Notamacropus eugenii: one gene and its partner. The protein of the gene in region 1 purifies or fractionates together with the protein of each later gene. This does not show direct contact. Links are inferred from orthologs where the notes say so. Each region holds a gene or a part of one and is shown on either strand. Other genes may lie near its edges.

Evidence for each region.
Region 2: the proteins of AIFM1 (region 1) and TXN purify together in Homo sapiens (affinity purification with mass spectrometry; 3 studies listed by BioGRID and IntAct, with this or other methods). This does not show direct contact. The link is inferred for Notamacropus eugenii from reciprocal best matches to the Homo sapiens genes AIFM1 and TXN.

What each region holds. Positions count from the first base shown.
Region 1 is NC_092879.1:51,898,687-51,906,200, forward strand, and holds the start of AIFM1 (apoptosis-inducing factor 1, mitochondrial), read right to left. Parts: upstream 3,007-7,514; 5' UTR 2,794-3,006; coding exon 2,700-2,793; intron 1-2,699. UniProt on the Homo sapiens protein: Functions both as NADH oxidoreductase and as regulator of apoptosis.
Region 2 is NC_092872.1:98,089,348-98,097,238, forward strand, and holds the start of TXN (thioredoxin), read left to right. Parts: upstream 1-4,886; 5' UTR 4,887-5,158; coding exon 5,159-5,182; intron 5,183-7,891. Other genes in the region: uncharacterized protein, read right to left, coding at 2,167-2,800, 3,005-3,066. UniProt on the Homo sapiens protein: Participates in various redox reactions through the reversible oxidation of its active center dithiol to a disulfide and catalyzes dithiol-disulfide exchange reactions.

The DNA.
Region 1 (7,514 bases):
CAGGAAGGTCACAGAGAAGCTCAAGCTCATGCAGAGGAAGGTAACCAAGAAAGGCCATGCTACTTGAGGATTATGCTATTAAGTAAGGATCAGTTGAAGGAGCTGTTTAGCTTGGAGAAAAGATGACTGGGGTGGGAGAAGAATTGTCTTCAAGTATTTATTAGAGAGGCTGCCATGTGAAAAGCTGGGTCAGACTTATTTACAAAGAGGCAGACTCCTTTTTGATGTAAAGAAAAGTTTCCTATCAGAGGTATGTCCAAATGTGAGATGAACTGCCTTGGAAAGTTCTCTTTCACTAGAGGGCTTAAAGGTTGGATGGCCATTTATGGGGTATGTTTTAGAGGGGAGTCTTCTTAGGTATGAGTTAAATTATATGGTGTTGGAGATCAATTCCACCTCTGAGATTCTATGAATTATATAAATCTACGAAGAAGGAGCAAATAGTCAAGAAACCAGAAGTAGTAATACAGCAGCCCATCTCTGAACAAGTTACTAATGAAGGCAAAATAAAACTAGCCAATTCCTTTCAGCACTAACATCACTAAATGCTTTCAAATCTAAGTAAGTGAAGATAATAGCATAAGCAATAAGTATGTATTAAGAAGGCATTTTCCCATGAAATGTTCAATTCCACAGACCAAAGCAATGATGTTTTAAGTTGGAGGTCAAAGTTACGAAAGGGCAAAAAGGTTATACATTCCGTCTAAGAATGTTGTGTAACTTGCCTATGGATAGTACCATAATTTTGGCGTGCAGACAACAGAGATGTCTGGAAACCAGGATATCTGTCAAAAAACAATCCTTTTTTATTGCCGCACCTGAAGTCAGGGTTAAGTGACTTGCCCTCGGTCACAGTCACACAGTTAATAAACATGAGTGTCAGAGACCAAATTTGAACTCCTGTCCTCCTGACTCCAAGCTAGTGTTCTATCCACTGTACCACCTAACTGCCCTAAAAAACAATGTTTTTAAAGTTCCTGACAACAGAGGTGTTAAGATTCGAAGTGTAAGATCACTCAAGATACTAAAACTTCATTCAAGAAGCACTCTTGAGTCAATGGCTCCAGGAAAATGGTGCAAAAACTTAGGCAAACATTTTCATGTCACTATTGATATTAGCAAGAACTGAAGAAGACCTCTAAAAGAAAGATTAATTGTATCTCCTAAAAACTGGTAACTTACTACCAGAAGAGGTCACAGGGTACACAAGAGGTCATGGGGTGTATGTGTGTGTGTAAGTAAAATTCATGAAATGTTCTGATAAATTCATGGATGGCATATGCATGATGGACTAGTAAGGCAGGAATTTAGGGGTGTTTGATTATAGCATTCTGAGTTGGAAGGGACTTTTAATAGATTTAATATAAATCTTTTATTTTCCAAAAGATTAAACTGAGGCCCAGAATGATTTACCTAAGGTTACACAGCTAGTATCAGTAGCAGAACCAGGAGTAGAACCTAGGTCTTTAAAATCTCAGGCTACTGCTTCTGATAGGACACCACTGTTAACTTTTTGAGGTCAACTTCATGAAGGGCAAATATCCTACTTTCCCAGCATCAGAGAAGAATATTAGGCTGAACAGACCATTGAACCACATTATTTACTTTCTAATACTGAGAAGGCACCTTATGCATTGGTTAAAAAACAACTCTAAAATTGGCATTAAAGATAACCACAAAGTCACACCAGACCCTATTTTTCAATTCACTTTTGGCCTGCCCTCCCAGCTCTTGTGGTATTTATTTCATGATTTATATTTACAGTTGTTTCAATGATACTTGACACAGACAGGACTTTTGAATTGTGAAAGTGTTTTCACATCTATGTTCTCGACTTTAAGATAGGTAAAGTAGATGATATGTCTGTTACAGATGAAGAAACTGAGGAAAAGACTATTATTAAATGGCTTAAGTCACATCTATAATAAATGGCAGAGTTCCAGGGTTTTTTCCATTAGACTTCCAAACTTTCACAGTCCAATATTTCTGAAATTCCCTTCCTGTTACCTAGTTGAAATTTTATTCCTTCTCTTCGGGAATCAGGTAAAATGCCACCTCCTTCCATTTAGTATTCTCAGCTCCCACCCGATCAGAAAACATTCCTCTCTCTTTTAAAGTCTCAGTACTTTTTTTGCGCCACTTTTTTTTTGTCCTGGAGCTTCCTGCTTTCTGCCCTCTATTATCCATTCTCTGGGGTCGAGTCTTACTGATCTCCCCTACTTGACAGACTCTCCAAGGGCTAGAGCTAGAACTTTTTTCTGATTCATCTTCCAGTCTCCCCCCGGGGCCTAGCTGGTTTAAGTAGTACTTAGCACACGTGGGTCCCCAGAAGCCCGCTTGGAGCCCCGGGAAGGAAAGGCATAGGGTTGGGAGGGGGTGTTAGCCAGAAGGCCACCCCGGACTGCAGGGGCTGGGCTGCAGGGATTCTAGCCAGCAGCCTGTCAGCTAGGGGGATGGGGGTGGAAGGTGATGCCTCTGAAGGTCAGGCCGGCGAGTCCTGCCTCAAGAGTTTGGAGCGCTCCCAAAAAAGGCGCGAGTGAGCGTGCGGAAGGGGTTTGCCTGCGGGGGGGGGGGGGGGGGGAAGGGGGGGAGAGACGCGGGCCGTGCAGGGGGTTCCCTGGGATCACGGTCAGGGTCCGACGGGTGGGGGGAGAGGAGGGGTAGAGAACTGCAACGGGAGCGTCAGGGAACTAACTTACCTGGAAGCCGGCTCCTCTGCTTCGGGCCACGGACGCTGAAAGTCCGTACCAAAGGCGCCAACCCAGCCACGGCGGTGCTTCCACATCGTAACATGACTACGACAACGACAACGACGACGGGAAGTCCCGGACCAACTGCGACTGCGGCCGACCCGCCGCCTCCCCTTTTCGGCTTTCTCACCCAGCTACTGACCCGTTAACCACAGTCCGCCTCCAAGTGCCACTCTATTCCATCCCAGCCCACCTCGCAGGCGGGGTCTCCCTAGAGACGCATTCTCATTGGACCGATGGAACCGCCTGCGCAGACGCTGCCCTCCAATTGGCCACTGGATAGTGAAAGGGAATGAGAGCTGCGTTGTTCCTAGTGCTGTGCAACCATTGGCTGAGGAAGCGGAGCCACCTCGCGCATGTGCACGTTTCAGTACTCTGGCCCGGGGCGGTAATGTTCTAGGGTGGCGTTCTCAGGGCATAGTTCGGTACCTATTTCTTTAGTTTGGGACTACCAGTTCCTCCTTCTTAGTACGGCTGTTCACTCCAGTTCAGTTGCCCGGTTCAGTTGCAGCGGCGGTGGCGGGACTTGACAGATCCGGGGGCCCGCCTGGTTCCGCCAGTGGACACCCAGGCTCTATGGTAACAACTCTGACTGGCTTCTTCACAGGTCAGAGCCCTCCTGGGCTCCCGAGGCCTTTGGTGACCTTGGCATGTTGGACCTCTGGCCCTCCGGCCTTTTCCCTCTTCCAGAACTTAGGGTTTTCCTTTAATGAAGGTGTCATCCTGCTGTGCCTGTTACTGGCTCTATTACTACCTTGTGCAAGTCCCTTGCCTTCTCTGAACCTCAGTTTCCCTCTAGGTCAAATGAGGTTGGCCGCTATGATTACTTCAAGGTCCCTGACTCTATGATCCTATGCTCCCACCCTCTCCTGGCATTGGGGCCGCCAATGGAGTTGAGAGCACCAGCACATCGATAAGTTGACTTCCCTTGGCTGTATTTTCAGAACTGTAGAATGAGAGGGACTGAGCGGAAATTAATATTTCAGGCACTTGAAATATAAGCAAAATTGGGAAACTGGTCTTTGGAGCTCCACAGAAAATAAAGAAAATTACAAATATTACAAGTAAGTTTCACTATTTAAACATTTTAGGAATGGACTTCATGTCTCCACAATTAGATTTTTAACATCCTAAGGACATGGACCATGCATTTTATCTTTGTATTCTTTACTTCAGTCTAAAGTTGGAAAGATCCTTAGACACCATCTAGTCCAGGGGTGGGGAATCTGTGGCCTCAAGGCCACAGCTGGCCTTCCAGGTCTTCAACTGCAGCCCTTTGGCTGAATCCAAACTTCACAGAACAAATCCCCTTAGTAAAAGGCTTTGTTTTGTAAAACTTGGACTCACTCAAACGGTTGTACCCAAGTACTAGATTCTAGTCCAACTCTTATATTTTATAGAGTAGGACACAGGCCCACGGATGATGGCCAAGGTGACATAGGTACTAAAACATTAAAGACTGAATTTGAAGTAGGTTCTCTGACTATAGAGCCAGTATCAAAGTAAATCACGCTACAATGCCTTCTGGTCCCTCGTACATAGTAGGTATGTGCTTAGTTTCTTGAATGGATAATGCTAGAATATCTTTCAACAAAATTATGGATTCTATCTTTTGGTCAGGTAGCTTTCTTTCCTCTGCTCCATAGTCACAGACTTTATCTGTGAAGGTTTATCCTACCAGACAGGTTGTATCCATGGGGTTAGTTCATAGGCAATGTACCCTAACCCTAGAGACTGCTATACAAAGTATTCTGCACTGACTTCTATATATTTGTGACATGTACTTTTTTACTGAGAATAATCACCTTGACACTGTGAGACCCAAGGGATCACAGATGATTGGTATACCTCTGTGTTATTGGAGAGTAGACACTGCTTATTTTTACATGATATGGATTTGAGAAATGTTGGGGTTTTTTCCCAACCCATGCAAATTAACTAGATGAGTGGTTTTCAGAATGTGGTCCACCAACCCCTGGTGGTCCCCTAAACCCTTTCAGATGGTCCTTGAGATCAAAACCATTTTCATAATAAATACTAAAATCTTGTGTGTGTGTGTTCATCCTTCGTTGTGGAAGAAGACCATGCCATCAGAAAAATAATGACATGACTTGCTCTTGACTTTGTTTTAAGTGAGGGAGGGCTGTGCACGTCACCAGCCTCCCTTCTCCTCACTTCAGAGCCATCTAAATTCAGTGACCAGATATTCATCAGGATGACTAGAGATGACCCAGGATGAGGCAATTGGGATTAAGTGACTTGCCCAAGGTCACATAGCTAGTGAGTGTCAAGTGTCTGAGGTGAGATTTGAACTCAGATCCTCCTGACTCCTACACTGGTGCTCTATCCACTGCACCACCTAGCTGCCCCTACTAAAATGTTATTTGCCTATTAAAATACCATTCCTTTTTTCTTTTTTTTTTTTTTATAATTTTTTTATTTTTTTAATGTTTAACAATCACTGCCATACAATTGCGATTTTATCCCTCCCCACCCACCCCCCACTAACTCCCTCCCTCCCCACGACTGCATACAATTCTGTATAGATTCTACATATACTTTCCTATTGAGTATATTTTCACTATAGTCATGCTATGTAGTCAGACTAAGATAAATGAGAGAATCCGTATAACAAATCAGAACATGATACACAGACAGATACACATACACAAACATGATCTGCTACATTATGTGAGTGACTTCCATATTTCTCTCTCTGAGTGTGGAAGGCATTTTGCCTTGAGGTCCACCATTGGGATTTTTTTTTTTTTCAGGAGTTCTTGTGTTATTACAAAAATCTAAGTCTACCAGAAAAAACTCTCACACACTGTGGTTGTTGCTGTGCATAAAGTTCTCCTGGTTCTGCTCCTTTCACTCAGCATCAGGTCATATAAGTCCTTCCAGGCCTCTCTGAAGTCTTCTTGTTCATCATTTCTTATGGCACAATAGTACTCCATTACATTCATATACCATAATTTATTCAGCCATTCCCCAATTGATGGACATCCCCTTGACTTCCAGTTTTTGGCAACTACATAGAGTGCTGCTATACATATTTTTGTACATGTGGGACCCTTTCCCATTTTTATGATCTCTTGGGGATACAGTCCTAGTAGCGATATTGCTGGGTCAAAGGGTATGCACATTTTTGTAGCCCTTTGGGCATAGTTCCAAATTGCTCTCCAGAATGGTTGGATGCGCTCGCAGCTCCACCAACAATGAATTAGTGTTCCAACTCTCCCACATCCTCTCCAGCATTTATCATTTTCTTGTTCTGTCATGTTTGCCAATCTTATAGGTGTGATGTGGTACCTCAGAGTTGTTTTGATTTGCATCTCTCTAACCAATAGTGATTTAGAGCATTTTTTCATATGATTATAGATAGCTTTAATTTCTTCCTCTGAAAATTGCCTGTTCATATCCTTTGACCATTTATCAATTGGGGAATGACTTGTATGATTATACATTTGGGTCAGTTCTCTATATATTCTAGAAATGAGGCCTTTATCCCCGAGCTTAGCTGTAAAAATTTTTTCCCAATTTACTACATCCCTCCGGATTTTGGTTGCATTGGGTTTGGTTGTGCAAAAACTTCTCAGTTTAATGTACTCAAAGTTATCCATTTTGCATTTCATAATGCATTCTATCTCTCCTTTAGTAAAGAATTCTTCCCTTCTCCATAGATCTGATAAATACACTATTCCTTGCTTCTCCAGTTTATTCATGGTATCAATCTTTATACCTAAATCATGTACCCATTTGGACTTTATTCTTGTGTACGGTGTCAGGTATGGGTCTATGCCTAATTTCCGCCACACTGTTATCCAGTTTTCCCAGCAATTTTTGTCAAACAATGAGTTCTTATCCCAGAAGCTGGGGTCCTTGGGTTTATCAAACAGAAGGTTGCTATATTCCTTGCCTACTGCATCTTCAGTGCCAAGTCTATTCCACTTGTCTACCTCTCTGTTTCTTAGCCAATACCAAGTGGTTTTGATAATTGCTGCTTTATAGTACAGTTTAAGGTCTGGTAGTGCTAGGCCACCTTCCCAAGCATTTCTTTTCATTAGTCCCTTTGATATTCTGGACCTTTTGTTTTTCCAAATGAATTTTGATATTATTTTATCCAGCTCTAGAAAGTAATTGTCTGATAGTTTAATTGGTATGGCACTAAATAAGTATATTAATTTGGGTAGAATTGTCATTTTTATTATATTAGCACGGCCTACCCATGAGCAACTAATCTTTTTCCACTTACTTAAATCTGACTTTATTTGTGCAAAAAGTGTCTTGTAATTGTGTTCATATAGTCCCTGGGTTTGTTTTGGCAGGTAGACTCCTAAGTATTTTATACTGTCTACCCTAACTTTAAATGGGATTTCTCTTTCTATCTCTTGCTGTTGAACTTTGTTGCTAATATATAGGAATGCAGAGGATTTGTGTGGGTTTATTTTGTACCCTGCAACTTTGCCAAAGTTGTTTATTAATTCAAGTAATTTTTTACTTGAATCTCTGGGATTCTCTAGGTAAATCATCATATCATCTGCAAAGAGTGATAACTTAGTTTCTTCTTTGGCTATTCTAATTCCTTGAATATCTTTATCTTGTCTAATTGCTACAGCTAACATTTCTAGTACCATATTGAATAATAGTGGTGATAATGGACAACCTTGTTTCACCCCTGATCTTATTGGGAATGCATCTAGCTTATCCCCATTGCATATAATGCTTGCTGAAGGTTTTAGATAGATACTGCTTATTATTTTA
Region 2 (7,891 bases), on another chromosome or scaffold:
AATCCTGTAGATACCCAGGTTATGACCTTCAGATGATCAAATAGTGGGGAGACTCTTAGGCAAGCCCACACAACACATGGCCAGTGGGCCATTTGCAGCCCACCAAAGGACTTCAGGCAGCACACAAAAAATGTGGGGTCGCCACTGCACATTCTCCTGCTTGTCACCTGTCCTGTGGCAATCAGCCATCACGTCTGTCCCTAGTCTTACTTACCTGCCTGCTGCCTGAAGAAGGTTAGCCTATTTAATTTTGGCCTCCACCTACTGCCAAGTTGTGCAGGTCTGCTCTCGGAAAGGGAAAGCTTTCTTTTCCACGTATAAAAGTCTATTGAGTAACATCATTGAAATGTATATATTTGACACATGTATATCAGCATTTCTGTAATATGATTCAGTGGAAAGTCCTGTGGAGTCAGGAGACCTGGATCCTAGTTCAGTTCTGTCGTTGACTACTTTCATGACTTTGGGCAAGCTACTTCATAGAATTGAGATGGAAGAGACATCTAGTCCAATCTGAATCTGAATAAAAATCCCCTCTGCAACATCCCTGACAAACGGCCATACACCTTCCATTTGAAGATTTCCAGTAATAGCAACACACTACTTATAAAGGTAGCTCATTTAACTTCTTTATCAAGCCAAAATCTGCCTCTACTCATTACACCCAGTTCTGTCCTCTGGGGCCAAGTAGAATATGTCTAATTCCCAATCCAATGACAGTCTTTCAGGTAAGAACAATAATAATATTATTAATTTAACTACTTTAGTAAATTTCATCTTGCTATACTAGACCACAATTCTACCTTACCAAGATCTTTTTGCATTATAATTTTGTCATTCAACATATGAGCTATAACTTCTTGGCTGTATTTGACTTCTTCATCTTCATCCAAGTAATTGGTAAAAATGCTGAACAAAACAGGGCCTAATACAGATCCCTGAAGCACTTCCCTTAGGACTTCCTTTAAGGCTGACACTGAATAATTAACAAGTACTCAACGATCCATCAATCCATCATTCAACCATTTCTCCGTCCACCTAACTACTTAGTCTTCTCAAGGATTCTATCAGAAACTTTACTTCTATGGTCTTCAGTTGTCTGAAAGATAACAATGAAGGTGTTGGGAAATACAATGTATTTGATCAAAATTAGCCTTTCTATTTTATTACTGCACATCTGGCTCTTTGATTTCTTGTTGTTCATCCTTCTAGAAAAGGAACAATGACATCAGAGGGGTGACATCTTAACTTCCTCACCAACTGAATTTAAGTGAGGCAGAGCTGTGCCAAGTCATTAGCATCACTCTCTCCAATCTAATGCTACCAGTCAGGACTACCGGTGATGGTCCCCTTTCACTTCTTAGTGGTTCATGGTTACTCTGGCAGTAGTGGTTAAACCTCTAGACTTGGAGTCAGGAAGACCTGGGCTTGCATCCTCATCCCAAATATTTATTTACTACCTGTGTGACTCTAACAAAGTTATTTAACCTTTCCAGGAGTCAGCAGTCTCATCTGTACAATGAGCATCATCACAGCATCTTCCTTGTTGTGAGGACCACACAGGGAAAATGCACTTAAAATCTTAAAACTCACGATAAATGAGTAACTCCTGTTACTAACAAATACTTATTGAGGGCTTACCCTGCTGAGTCTCAGAATCACAGAATCCTATAGCCCGAAGAAAACTTAGAGACCATCTAGTCCGACTTCATTTTACAAATGAAGAAAATGTGGCCCAAAGAGAAGGCATCATTTCATCAAGGAGACACAGCCACTGAAGAGCTGTTGGCAGAACTTGAACTCAAGTCCAGGCCTTTTAACTTTAAATCCACCACTTTTCCCTTTAAACAAGACTTCTATTCATTGCAAAGTACTCTGTAACAGTGGTATAAAAATCAAGTTGAAGTGGAGTCCATTAAATCATACGTAAGGATCCATGTGGGCCACATGTTGACTTCGTTTTAAAATGTCACATTATCTACGTTTTACGTTATATTTTGTTAAATATTTCCCAACTGCATTTTAGTCTGGTCCAGGCCCCAGCTGTGGGCCATATGTTTGACCTCTCTGCGGTGGAAAACCAACAGAAAACCTCTGGTCCTTATCCTGAATAACATAGGCACACACACAAACGTGAACCAGTATTTTGTAAGTCCTAGGGAAGAGCTACAAACAAAGCGATATGGGCACCGGGGTTGGGGAAAGGTCGCCTCTAGCTTGGAGAACAGAGAAAGGAAAAAGGCTCCCTAGGAGAGGATGCCTGACAAGGTCCAGGGGAGAGCAATTCCGGGGAATAAGTCTCGCGTGGAAGAAGCCAAGACAGCCCGGTGTTCTTGGGCTGAGGGAGTGCGGGGCAGGGGCAGTGGGAGCTGGAGCTGGGGCTGACTGGGCCGGGGGGGCTGGAGCTGGGGCTGACTGGGCCGGAGCTGGGGCTGACTGGGCCGGGGGGGCTGGAGCTGGGGCTGACTGGGCCGGAGCTGGGGCTGACTGGGCCGGGGGGGCTGGAGCTGGGGCTGACTGGGCCGGGGGGGCTAGAGGGCTGGAGCTGGGGCTGACTGGGCCGGGGGGGCTGGAGCTGGGGCTGACTGGGCCGGGGGGGCTGGAGCTGGGGCTGACTGGGCCACAGCTGGGGCTGACTGGGCTGGAGCTGGGGCTGACTGGGCCGGGGGGGCTGGAGCTGGGGCTGACTGGGCCGGGGCGGCTGGAGCTGGGGCTGACTGGGCCGGAGCTGGGGCTGACTGGGCCGGCGGGGCTGGAGCTGGGGCTGACTGGGCCGGGGGGGGGCTGGAGCTGGGGCTGACTGGGCCGGAGCTAGGGCTGACTGGGCCGGAGCTGGGGCTGACTGGGCCGGGGGGCCCTGAATGCCCTGCTGGGGCCAATAAGGGCTCACAGGAGCCCCAGGAGCAGAGCTGTGACACTGCTCTAACCTGTTCTAAAGCTCTCCTTTGCTCCAGACTACCTAGTCTTCTTACAAGGCTGCTGCATGACTCTTCCCTTCTCTTACTTGTGGATAAACACGACCTGTCCCAGCACCGCGGGCCCTGCCCGCACCCTGGTCTCCCGCATCGTTACCGGGGGCGGCCCGGGGCCATCGGCCTCCCCCCGAGCCCTGGGAGGATCTGGCCGCTGAACTGACCGTTTTACCGTCTAACCCGGTGGCTTTACCATTTTAGGTTGCCGGTGGTTTGAGGGGGGCAGCCAACCAGAGCCAGCCACACAAACCACCCCGGGAACAAACAATAGAACTGGCACCTCCGGAAAGTTCGGAGAAGAGGAGCTCGCGGGGATCTCGGTTCGGAGCATGGCCGCCTCGGAGTTCCCACCTAGGCCCCCGGGGCGGGCCCTCAGCCCTCCCTGATCTCGCGGCTCCCCAAACCAGCACCAGGGCCCATCTGCTGCGTCACCAGCAGCGACTTCAAGGAAAATGAGAAGGAGAAAAGGAGGGAAGGAAAAGGAGAAAAAGAAGGCAAGTTCCGGGAGGGCGCGGCCTGCGGTGGGCGGGGGCCCGCCGCGGAGACTTCCTCATCATCGTTACACAGCATTTTGTGCCCGCTTCCCGGGCCCTGGGGACTGGAGACCACGAGGACAAGAAGTCCGAGGGACTGCGTCCGCCCGGCCCACCCCCGCTGGGGCGGAGGCCGGCTTCAGGCCGGGCCAAGCAGCCCATCCCCGAGGCTCGGCTGCCTCCGCGCTCCCGGGCGTTTTCCCCAGGTGGCCCGGAGGCCCGCCTCCGTTTCCACGCCCTCGTAGGCAGCCCCGCCCGCGACCTAGAGCGCTAACCTGTCCTCCGACCGCCGCTCTCCGTCGCCTCCCCCGGAGCCCGGTCCCGGGGCTGCCCATGCCCATGTGCGCTCATTTGTGGTCGGGGGCTGGCCCAGAGCAGGGGGCTCTTCCGGCCCCAAGCCCTAGGACCTCGCTCACAGTCCGCCCTCCGCCTCGTCCCTTTCTCCCTCCCTCTGCCCTCCAGGGCTGGCCCAGGGGACACGTGGGCCGGCTGGAGCAGAGGGTGTTTTCCACGAAATGGCTTTTACTCATAGTGTAATTAAATTTCGGACGGCTCGATGGGTTCGTTTTGCAAACTCTAGTCAACTTTTCCTACTCCTCTCCAAGTGATCCTCGAGGGCAATGGGACGATTAGGAAATCAAATCCGAAAAGGGACGGCACCAGGCCGAGGGTGAAGCGCCAGGGCGGCCTGGGCCCGGGCCCGCGCCGTTGCCAGGGCGGGGGGCGGGGAAAGAGAAGCGATAGGGGCGGTGCTCTGCGGGGCCGGCGCTCTGCGGGGCCGGCCCCGGAGACGTGACGCGAGCGACGTGGCGCGAGCCCAGGGCGCCGAAGGAGGGAAGGGGGAGGGCGTTCCAGGAAGGGGAGCGCCCGGGCGAGCAAGGCCTCCTTCCTCCCTCCCCTCCAGCCCTCCTCTCCCTCCCCGGGCGGCCGTCGCCTGGGCTCTTCTCCGCCCACGGTATAAAGGGCCCTTGAGGCGGAGCCTCCGCTACTTTCTTGCATTTCCCGCAGAAAGAAGCATCGCCCAAGAAGCCTCCGTCTTCCAAGTCACCCGGACCTAGCAAGTTCAAGTCACCCGCACCCAAGTTTCTCGGACTCTTCAGAGCAGGCAACTCCAAAGCCAAGTCCCCGTCTCCCGCCCGGGCCTCCCTGACCAGCGCGTCGGCGCGGTCTCCGCCTCCGCCTCGGCCTCCGCCCCCGGCGCCGCCCAAGCATCTTCCTCCTCCCTCGCCTCCTGCGCAGCCCGCTCCCCCTAAGCCACCCTCGCCTCCGGAGCCTGTCGAGAAACCTGCTCCACCCGAGCCGCCCGCTCCACCCGAGCCGCCCGCGCCGCCCGAGCCGCCCGCGCCGCCCGAGCCGCCCGCTCCACCCGAGCCGCCCGAGCCGCCCGCGCCTCCGGAGCCTGCTCAGCCGCCGGCTCCGCCAGCGCCTCCCGAGAAGCCCGCTCCGCCCGAGCCGCCAGTGCCTCCCGAGCCACCCGAGCCTCCCGAGCCGCCCGAGAAGCCCACTCTCCCCGAGCCCTCTGCGCCTCCAGAGCCGCCAGCGCCTCCCGAGCCATCCCCTCCTCCCGAGCCGTCCGCACCACCAGAGCAGCCCGCTCTTCCCGAGCTCCCTGCGCCTCCCGAGCAGCCCGAGCCGCCCGAGCCGTCGGAGAAGATGGTGAAGCAGATCGAGAGCAAGGTAAGAAGTCGCGGTGCCCCCGAGCTGGGAAGGCGGGAGCGGAGGAGAGCCCCGATCCCCATCCCCAGCCCCGCCTAGGGCCATGTGTGCCCTAGTCCGGCGCCCTGGGGAGCTGCAGGCCCGGGGCTTAGCCCGGAGATTGGCACTTCGTGGGTGTTTGTTGCTTGGCTTTGGTCCTTGCCCTCCCCCTGGCCTCCAGTCCTCGGAGCCCGCCCGGGGGTGGTCATTTCCCTGCGGCCCGGGCTGCGGCCCTGCTGCCGTGACGGAACGTCTGGGCGGGCCTTGGCGCCCCCGAGGGCGGCGTTCCTGCCTTGGGGGCATTTTGGCCACCCCCTCCCCTCCCCCCGGGTTCCTGCCGCTTTGCGCTGCTGTGGTTGTCCCTGGCCCGGGGTCTGCGATGAAGAACTGCCCTGGTTCCCCTGATGGGGGTGACCCCAGGGCAGGAGCCAGCCGTGCCCGGGGCCGTCGGGACGTCCGGCTGGCTGCGCCCTGAGGCCGGTGCGCAGAAGGGGGAGGCCATGACTCGGCTGGCAGGGGCACCTGACGGCTGGGCGCTTCCTTGCCTTGCCCTGTAGGGTTTCAGGATATTCAGGGCAGCGATTCCCTTGCCCTCTGTTGGCAGTATTCGTTTCCTGACACCCATCACAGTGTGAGATTTGTTTCCTTTCTGTTAATTTAATTCAGTTCCATAGACGTGTTAATGAAAAAGATTTTTGGACGTTTTGGGAGAATATGCAGACAACTTTGAGATCATCAATGACGCTGGGTCAGATATCCCCAAAATGGAGCCTCTTGCTTCAATACAGGGGTAGTCACTGAGGAAAGGCAGGAGAGAAGACAGTTCGATTCAACAAGTATTCAAGGGTTTCTTATGAACCAAGTGGGAAACAACATAAAGCTTTTTGCTCCAAAAGCTTGCAGTTCAATAGGGGTAATAAAATATGATAAGAATGTGATACTAGCTTAGGAGTGAAATAGGACACCAGAGAAAATGCCGTGTAAGATTTGAATAGGAGAGATCACTTCCAGCTAGGGAAGGAAGGGGGGTCAGAGGAGGTTTGTGGAAGAGGTGGCTTCAGAGATGGGCCTTAGAGGAACCGAGAAGATTCAGACAAGCAGACAGACAGTGGAGGGAGTGCATTCCAGGCCTGGAGGGTGCAGGAGGAAATAGGAGCAGATAGAGAATAGTTAGTAAGAGTTTCTCTTAAATACAAGGATTGAAGGAGAATACAGTGATAAAAGGCTAGAAATATGGGATACAACAAAATTAGAGAGCTTTGTTTAAAAAAATGCCAAGTGTTTATCATATTCTCTGGACGGTGGAGAGACAAAAGTCAACTTTTGTATGAATACCTCCTTCACTTTTGGAAAAGGTAACCTAAACCTGCCGTTCTCATCCTGAATGACTGTCATCCCCCTTTAAGAGATCCTTCTGATATACTGGAGTCGTTCCTCTTTTACAATATTTTGTGCAGTACTCCGGAAATTTATATCTGTCTATTGCTAAAGTGCAACCTGCATTTTTGGCTCATATCTAATGTTGTATCCATAGATGTTTAACCACAACACTTTTAAGTGTATTCCGCATTATTTAAAAAAAATTACATTAACATGTAAAGACAATTTTTCACTGTAATGTGCATTATTAACATCTCCTTCAAACCAGTCCCTCCCTTGCAGCACTTAATTGATTAAGGTGAAAATACGCTGAAATTTTTTTTTAAAAATTAGCTCTCTTGAGCCTGTATGAGCTGGTTCTAGCACAGACAAACAGCCAACACATACCTGGTCATGATGTTCTGTTGTATGCCATTTGATGGCAGGACATCAGTTATAATGTTCTATGGCCTAATTGCACTTAACTCACATCTCTACTGCTCTTAGATCACCTGTAATTTTTATTCTGAGATTATGTTTTTCACTTAGTCATAGCCACATATACCAAGAGAATGATGTTTTTTTAACAAGCCAGTTATGACCTTTGAGAGACCTCTGCAATTGTTCAGGCACGATCCAGCCTGTTTTCTTCTTATGTAATTCTAGGTCCAGTTCATTGTCTTTAGCACTTGCCAAGTATAGACACACACACACACACACACACACACACACACACACACACACACTTTTTTTTCCTGTGCTAATGCTTAGTCAGATCTTATGCATAATAAGGGCTTTCACTAATGAGCCCTAGTAGTATTTTGGAAGGGACATTCATTAAGCACCTACTGTATACCCGTTGGGGCAGCTATATGATGCAGTAGATACAGTGCTAGACCTGGAGTCAGGAAATTCCTCAGATTTGGTCTCAGACACTTGCTAGCTATGTGACCCTTAGCAAATCATTTAATCTTGATTGCCTCAGTTACAGCATCTGTAAAATGAGCTGGAGAAGGAAATAGCAAACTACTCCAGTATTTTTTTTAAAAAGTAAATTATTTTCCCCTCAATTATATATAAAGACAATTTTTAATATTGATTTTTAAAAAACAACTGAGTTCCAAATTTTCTCCCTCACTTCCCTTCCCCCCCAAGAAAAGCAATTTGATATAGGTTATACATGGTCAATCATGCAAAACATATTACCAAATCAATCATGTTGTCATAGACCCAAAGGGAAAAAAAATGACCAAAAAAATACTGTATGTGAAAAATAGTACGCTTTGATCTGCATTCAGACCCCATCAGTTCTCTCTGGAGGTAGATAGCATT